2 linked regions of the Oryzias latipes genome follow. The main gene of each other region encodes a partner of the protein of the gene in region 2 in a complex. Links are inferred from orthologs where the notes say so. Each region holds a gene or a part of one and is shown on either strand. Other genes may lie near its edges.

Evidence for each region.
Region 1: nup93 (region 2) and nup85 share a complex: the UniProt entries of both Homo sapiens proteins name them as parts of the nuclear pore complex. The link is inferred for Oryzias latipes from reciprocal best matches to the Homo sapiens genes NUP93 and NUP85.

Annotation. Positions count from the first base shown.
Region 1 is NC_019866.2:13,017,482-13,020,772, forward strand, and holds part of nup85 (nuclear pore complex protein Nup85), read right to left. Parts: coding exon 3,171-3,291; intron 2,978-3,170; coding exon 2,907-2,977; intron 2,820-2,906; coding exon 2,776-2,819; intron 2,197-2,775; coding exon 2,127-2,196; intron 2,016-2,126; coding exon 1,894-2,015; intron 1,822-1,893; coding exon 1,687-1,821; intron 1,441-1,686; coding exon 1,318-1,440; intron 967-1,317; coding exon 835-966; intron 763-834; coding exon 656-762; intron 576-655; coding exon 492-575; intron 410-491; coding exon 344-409; intron 250-343; coding exon 98-249; intron 1-97. UniProt on the Homo sapiens protein: Essential component of the nuclear pore complex (NPC) that seems to be required for NPC assembly and maintenance. As part of the NPC Nup107-160 subcomplex plays a role in RNA export and in tethering NUP96/Nup98 and NUP153 to the nucleus.
Region 2 is NC_019864.2:28,042,371-28,046,025, reverse strand, and holds part of nup93 (nuclear pore complex protein Nup93), read right to left. Parts: intron 3,506-3,655; coding exon 3,413-3,505; intron 3,159-3,412; coding exon 3,019-3,158; intron 2,643-3,018; coding exon 2,510-2,642; intron 1,361-2,509; coding exon 1,203-1,360; intron 1,115-1,202; coding exon 949-1,114; intron 366-948; coding exon 272-365; intron 1-271. UniProt on the Homo sapiens protein: Plays a role in the nuclear pore complex (NPC) assembly and/or maintenance. May anchor nucleoporins, but not NUP153 and TPR, to the NPC. During renal development, regulates podocyte migration and proliferation through SMAD4 signaling.

The DNA.
Region 1 (3,291 bases), on a different chromosome or scaffold from region 2:
AAAACACATTTCAAATGCCAAACTCAACGAAAGAAAGTTCAACTTGAATGGTATTTCTGGAACCAAGGTGATTACAGAATAAAGAGTCTTTTAGAACCTTGCTCCGACATCTGCCTCTGTTCACAAATGCGGAGGACCTTCAGTGCTTTCCGCTCCGTGTCTAAGGGAACGCGCTCAATCTGGAGCTCAAGGTAGACACGACCAAACTCGAGGCAGTGATCGAAGTAATCCACAGCCAACTGCCACAGACTGATCAACAGACAAACAAAAAGACATCCTTTAAGGGAAAACCTTCACAGAAAAATTCAAATAATTAAAAGGAGGACTTAAAAAACAAACCAACCTGTGATGAGTGAAGAGGCCAGAGGCATATTCCAACAGGAGGAATTCTCTTAAATTGGAACCAAAGCTGCAAAAACACAGAAAAACACTGAATAAAAGAAGTCCTAACCTCCAGACTAAAAAACTAAATCTGCACACAGGGTTCTTACTGTAGATTGTGAGACTGGAGGAGTTTGCAGTGATCCAGCAGGTCTGTCAGATGAGCCACAAACCACCAGTTGTTGAGAGCGATGCTGAGGCAAAAGGAAGAAATTGAATGTTTAAAGTAGATTTAAAATAAGTGTACTTGCATGCATCAGTCCCATTGTTGCACCTGCAGTCCTTAATAACTTGATGGATGTCAAACTCAAAGGCAGCCAGCAAGATGCTGTCCAGAGGTTCTGGTGCGCTCCTTGAGTCCAGAAACATGGTCATACACGACTGCAAAACACACAGGTACACTTAATATCTGGATGCAGCAGACATGAGTGCAAGTTTTGTAGAATAGTTCACCTGTGCATAGTAGTGCAACTCAGTGGGCTTTACAGTGGGATGACAGAACAGCAGTCTTGAGACAAGGAAGTGATACCAGGTTCCCAGGAGGTCTTTGTGCTCCAGTAAAGTGTCTTCATCACCCAGGAGGATCTAAAAAATAAAGAACAGAAATTATTGAAACATTTTATATCATATAGTTGAAACATTTGCACCAATTTATTAATCTGGTGCTGCTAAATGACTAAAATGTATTTTGGTGCCAGATTAGAAATTAAAACACACATTTAATATCCCAGAAATTGCCTACAGTGAAGCATGGCGGCGATAGCTTCATAATTTGAGCATGCATCATATCAGCCCATTGGGATTTAGCAAGAATTGAAGTGATTAAAACTGTTAACAGAAACGGGCGTATTTTTAGGAAAAGCCTACATTAGTACCAACAATGTTAGCATTTTGAAAATACACGATAGCATAAAAAGTAGTAACGGATGGACTGACCTTGCAGATGACCTCCAGATGTTGGTTGCTAGCAAAAGAGTTGTCCTGCAAGCAGCGGTCTACCTCTTCATGCCAGTGCCTCCACTTAACGTCAAACTCTGTCAGTGTCTGTGTGCCACCAGGCTGAAGACATACATGTGAGGATGAAAATGGACATTTTGAAATTGTTTGGTTCGTTATGTGTTTGAACACATTTAAAGGCAGGTCACCAGTCCCTCAGCCAAAACAGAGAAAGAAACTGATGCAGGAGTCGTCGTGCAAACTCCTCTTAAGGAGGCCACAACTTAGATTTAACCTTTATGGCAGGTAAATGACCATAAGTCATTCTTAACCCACAGACTAAAACCAGATAACTCCCATTGTACTTACATTGTAAAAAGGCATCTTGCTGAGTAAGTTATCCATCATCTTGTAGATGTTGTTTGCAGCAGGCGTTAGGGTGGCCTTTTTCCCCAGCATCTGTCTGGCTTCGTCCAACCTGCCCTGCAGCACATAACTCACCACCTGCACAGCACAACGAAACTCTCAGAGATCTCCAGTGGAGGCGGATCGTGTGTGTGCATGTCCCGCACTAACCACATCCCAGTAGTCTCGATGCTCAGCAGGGCTGTCACTCTGCAGCACGTCTCGAGCCTTTTCGTCTACGTCAGCCTTGTGCAGCCTCACCCAGTCCAGGAGGTGAAGCAGGAGCGAGCCGGCTGAAAGCATGCAAAACACACATCAATCATGAATGGGTTTTTATGGAGCCTTGCCTTTGTTTAGTTATAATAAAAGATATTTTGTTGTTAACTAAAAACTGAGATTCTAACCAGGAGCAGCATCGATGAAAAGGACTTCACACAGATTCCAGATCAGTTCTATAGCTAAAAGAATGGAGACCTGCAACAAAACAGACTGGATTAGGAACTAAATAATATTTAAGAGAAATGTTACTGATGAGTCAAGGGTTAAAATACAGATGAGCTCTGACTATTTAAAATGCAACAAAAATATGTCATTTAAAACATATTATAATGGCACAATGACAGCTTTACCCACAAAAAAGATCAGTAATGATTTATATTTGTACCGACAAGCAAAAATCCAAAATAAACAAGCTCCGACATGAATAAGAGTTTGTTTCAAGATCATACAGAAGACATTTCTAGTATAATAAGATCTCACAAATGCAGTTTGAAATAACATCAAAACTAGTCGACGTCTGCTTGGTTGATTTAAAAATCATTAAAAAAAATACACATTTTTTAATTCCTAAGAACAAATTATACACAAAATTATTTGAATTGTATTTATTACAGACCACTAAAATCCACATCCGAGGAAACAAAAAAATATTACGAATAGTAAAAAGATTAAAAAGAAGAGGAAAAAAACTATTATACGTTAATAAGTTAAAAAATTAAACTAATCACAATTTCTAAAAAGGAAAAGATGAAACTAAAGAATAAAAACACGTGCCTGGTTTCCATACTGTACGGACATCTCTGCGTTTTTTGTGGAAACTGCAAACAAAAAAGTACATGCCATTATAAAAAACTACACTGTAGGATTCGAAGATACACTTCATGATTCAGTTTAAAGAAGCTAACCTGCAACTTGCTGCAGCTCCTCCATACAGGCTCGAATAACAGATCTATAGTTTTTACTGATGCTGACAAACCTATAGAGCAAAACAGGAATTGTTTTTTTTTTTTACTTTAACACTGTTTGACATGAAATAGTTACATGTTGATGTTTTGCCTGTTTTCTTTTTCAATCTTTATGTCATCCCACTGATCAAAAAATTAAAAAGAAAATGTCAATAAAAACTAATTATTTGTGTAAGCTGAGCGGTCTCTCATCAGGAGACTTACTGAGGTTTCTTGTTCTTGCTGGGCAGATCCTCCCTGATTGTTTGCAAGCCAACAAAAATGTGATGCGACTCGTTAAAGAGTTTGCGCAAAATAGGAGAGTAGATGTCTTCATCTTTCCGGA
Region 2 (3,655 bases):
ATTTTAGTCATTCTAACAGTTAGCATTCTTCGCTTAATTTTCCCTTTTTCAATGATTGTGTGAAACTCCTGTGTTTCTAGATCATTTTACAACTTTCTGGTGATTTCTTTCGAGTGTTTTTTTCCTCTTTTTAGGTTCCCTCCTTTTGCAGTGCATGCATGTACTCATACATGCATTTGTGCATCATCTCCTTCTTCCAAGAAAACAAAAAACTTTCACGTTAGTAAATGAAATAACCTAAGAGATTATGTGTGCGGCAGTTGTTGTGTACCATAATCTTCCAGGAGCTGCTTCTGTAACTGTGGCAGGGTGAGTCGGTCCTGAGGAGAGCTGCTGCCGTCGTCATCGAAGCACACCTGGTTCAACTGCACACATTCACATTCATTATTTAATCATTAATTATAACACGTTCATTAAGCAGCTCGACCATTCGTTTGCGTCAGCTGGGGTCCGTTCCTCAGACAGTTTCATTGTGAAAAGCAGAGGATAAATGTATCCTCCTTAGATTAATGCCAAACATGTTCAAAAGAATAATTTTGGTTAAAAATCTACAGTTACTTCAGGCTTTTAATCCAGATTTTAAGTACATTTGACTTGTTTTCTAGCACTTGTGTTATAAAACAAAGTTGGAAACCTACAAGGCAGAATGGCTTGATCTAAAATCATCCATTACTCGAAAATAATGCAGATTTTTACACAGAAAATTCAAAACTTGATCGTCACATTCACAAACTGATTTTCCTATTTAGAGATCTCTTGTATTTTCCAGGTAAAAAATGTGTTAAAATGTTAAAACTTTATTGATCTAGGATCCACTTTCGCTTACTTTTAGGAAAACAGCTTTATTGAAACAAATTCTGTGCAAAATTGATGGTGAGTTTAAACTGATTGCAGCAGTGAAATACCAAATGACCCAGAAAGGAATCAAGTAAATGAGGTGACCCGTACCTTCAGCCACAGATAATCTTCTGTCTTGTCCGCCACCTCTCCGTGGTTATCGTTGATGTCGCATTTCCCGATCAAGCAGTAGACGGCCCTCTTGTAGGGGTCGGCGCTGTTCCTCAGCACCCGGCGGTAGTGAAGACGGAGCTTGTTCTCCGAGGTCGGGCAAAGGCTAAAGACAGATCAAGTGTCAGACGACTGAAGACAAAAGATGCAGGGAACGATCTCATGCAAGCAGGCAATTGACGAAAGAAACGTACCGCCTGTCCGGGCTGTTCATGTACTCCTGAAACCAGGTCTTGAAGTCTCCCAGCTGATGTTGCACTCTGTTCACCACCTGCATGGCTGCGTTCAGATCGCCGCAGCGCAGACAGTAGTAGATCACCGCCCACACAGGGTGACCCTCCACTTCACCGTCCTGATGCACCAGAATAGAACCATTAAAAGGAAACCTAGCATGAAGAATGACCTGCTATTGACTTCAGGCAGTGAGGCTACGGGGCCACGATTATGGGGTCAGATCAGCATCAGCTTAAAGACATTTGAAGCAGTATAAAACTTGAAAGTACACATTGTCAACTTGAAAGAAAAAAAGTTTTTTTAAATGACTAAAAACTTGAATTAAAAAAGTATAAACCTAAAACTGTTTTCAGGTGAAAAAGAAAGTATTTGCAACAGCTGTTGTTTAGTGTCTATAATTTTGGGGTGTTTTTTGCCAGTGTTTAGCATTTCTCTCCCTCTTTGCTTAAAACCTGTGAACTGAGGTCAATCGTGTCCCGATAGCCAATGGGCTGAAAGCTCCACAAAAATGAGTGGAAACTCCAAAAAGTCTGATTTGAAACTGTAAATTGAGAAATGAAAAAAAAGGGAGAAAAAAATGAAAATACAAAACAGCTGCTGCAATAAATAAACATTTTTTCCTTTAAAAGTTGTAGGTATTTAGCATTTTATTCAAGTTTTCAGTATTATATAAATAAATTTCAAACATGCCAACTCCCCCCTGTATTTTCAGTATTTTTGTCAAATTTAAAATGTGTTTTTTCGCAAAGTGACTACTGATTAACGGAAGGTCAATTTAAGGAAACGTAAAATCAAAATTAGGAAACAAAGAAACAAAAGGATGAAGCAAACAGCCGCATGTCTTTTGACAAACTGTGCATGAAAAGTCCCTATTTTCAAGCCATTATTTCTGTTTGTTTGAATTTTCCCGCACTGAAGAGCTTGAGCTATTTAGCTAGGAGGTTAAGTGATTTACAACCGTTTACCAACTTTCGACACAGTGCGTCCTGGAAATGCTTGCGTTTAAGACAAAGAAAAAATGTAAATCCCATTTGACAGAAATTTAAACAATTTATTGCTTTATAAGTCCTTATTTAATTTAAATTAAATTCAACACCTTTAAAGGCTTTTTAAGGATCTCCGATTGAAGTGTAAAACAGTTCCAATCCTACTTTTTGTTTTCTTTTCTGGTTTTTCGTTCACTTCATCAAGCTGACCCTGGCTTGACCCCATACACGTTTCCTCACATTAACTCTTCATTCTAACTGATATACTGTAGGACTGATACCTGCATGCCAGGTAAGGGTCCGGGCAGTTTGATGTTCAGAAAACTGCGGACCAATTGGTACGTTCCAGGCACCCCTCCCAGTTGGGCCTGATGGAGGTTCCCGAAGACGGTCACCATGGTGTAGTTCTTGTAGCTGCAAAGAGGATGAAGACGTGATCGCATGTGGAACTTCTGACACTGGCTGGTTTGTTCTTTTTTACCATAAAAGTAGAACATTTAGATAAATTACTAAACTAAAATAGCTGACCCTCAGATCAATTCATCTTTTCTAATAAAATATTTTTCTGGGGTTACCTCTTTATCCTCAAATAAAAAACATCATAACCCTAAAAACTGGGAAAGTCTTGTTTTTGATGATTTTTTTTAAAAAGTTGAGCTTTTTCTGATCTATTCTGCATTAAAACGTCCGCATGACTTCCTGTTTGGCATTTCTCTTTCTAATCACACAATCAAATGACGTCAGTGTCGTCGTGGAAGTAATTGTTGTCCAATATAAGAAATGCACACACCTGTTCTCCAAGACGTTGAGTGCTTGACGAACAAAAGCCATCTGCATTTCAACAGAAGTTCGACTCTTCAGGGTGTCTTTAGCTGGAACCAGCAGAACGTCCGTCATCTGCTTCACCATCAGCCACATATCTGAAACGTTCTGGAGAACACAAATTATGTAATTTATTTCTTCAAGGTGGGCTATATAGACAATTTACTATTATTTTCTTTTTATAGATGGCTTCCCATCATTTTATATCACTTCTCCAGGTGCTGAACTGATAATGGTTTCTAATTATTTATAAAAAGGTAGAACAAATTTTCCCGACTTGTTATTATTATTATTTTTAACTAAAATGCACCTTCATATTTACTCCACTCAAAGATTTGGCAACAAAAGGCTACTGTTCTTACCTTATCATCAAGGCTTTCTGCCACCGATGCACATAAATCTCCCAGATTCGGGTGAATGTGTCCGTTCACTATCTTCTCGTTGAAAATGTAGATCTTTAGGTTGGAAAACGAAGAGACAAGAACATTTGAGCCCAGGTGAAGTAGCTCCAACAACCCTAAAGTCCTGAAATCCTCCCCTCACCTTCGAGGGTTCAAGTAAACGCTACGGAAACTGCAGGAAATGGTTCACAATAAAAAAGAGCA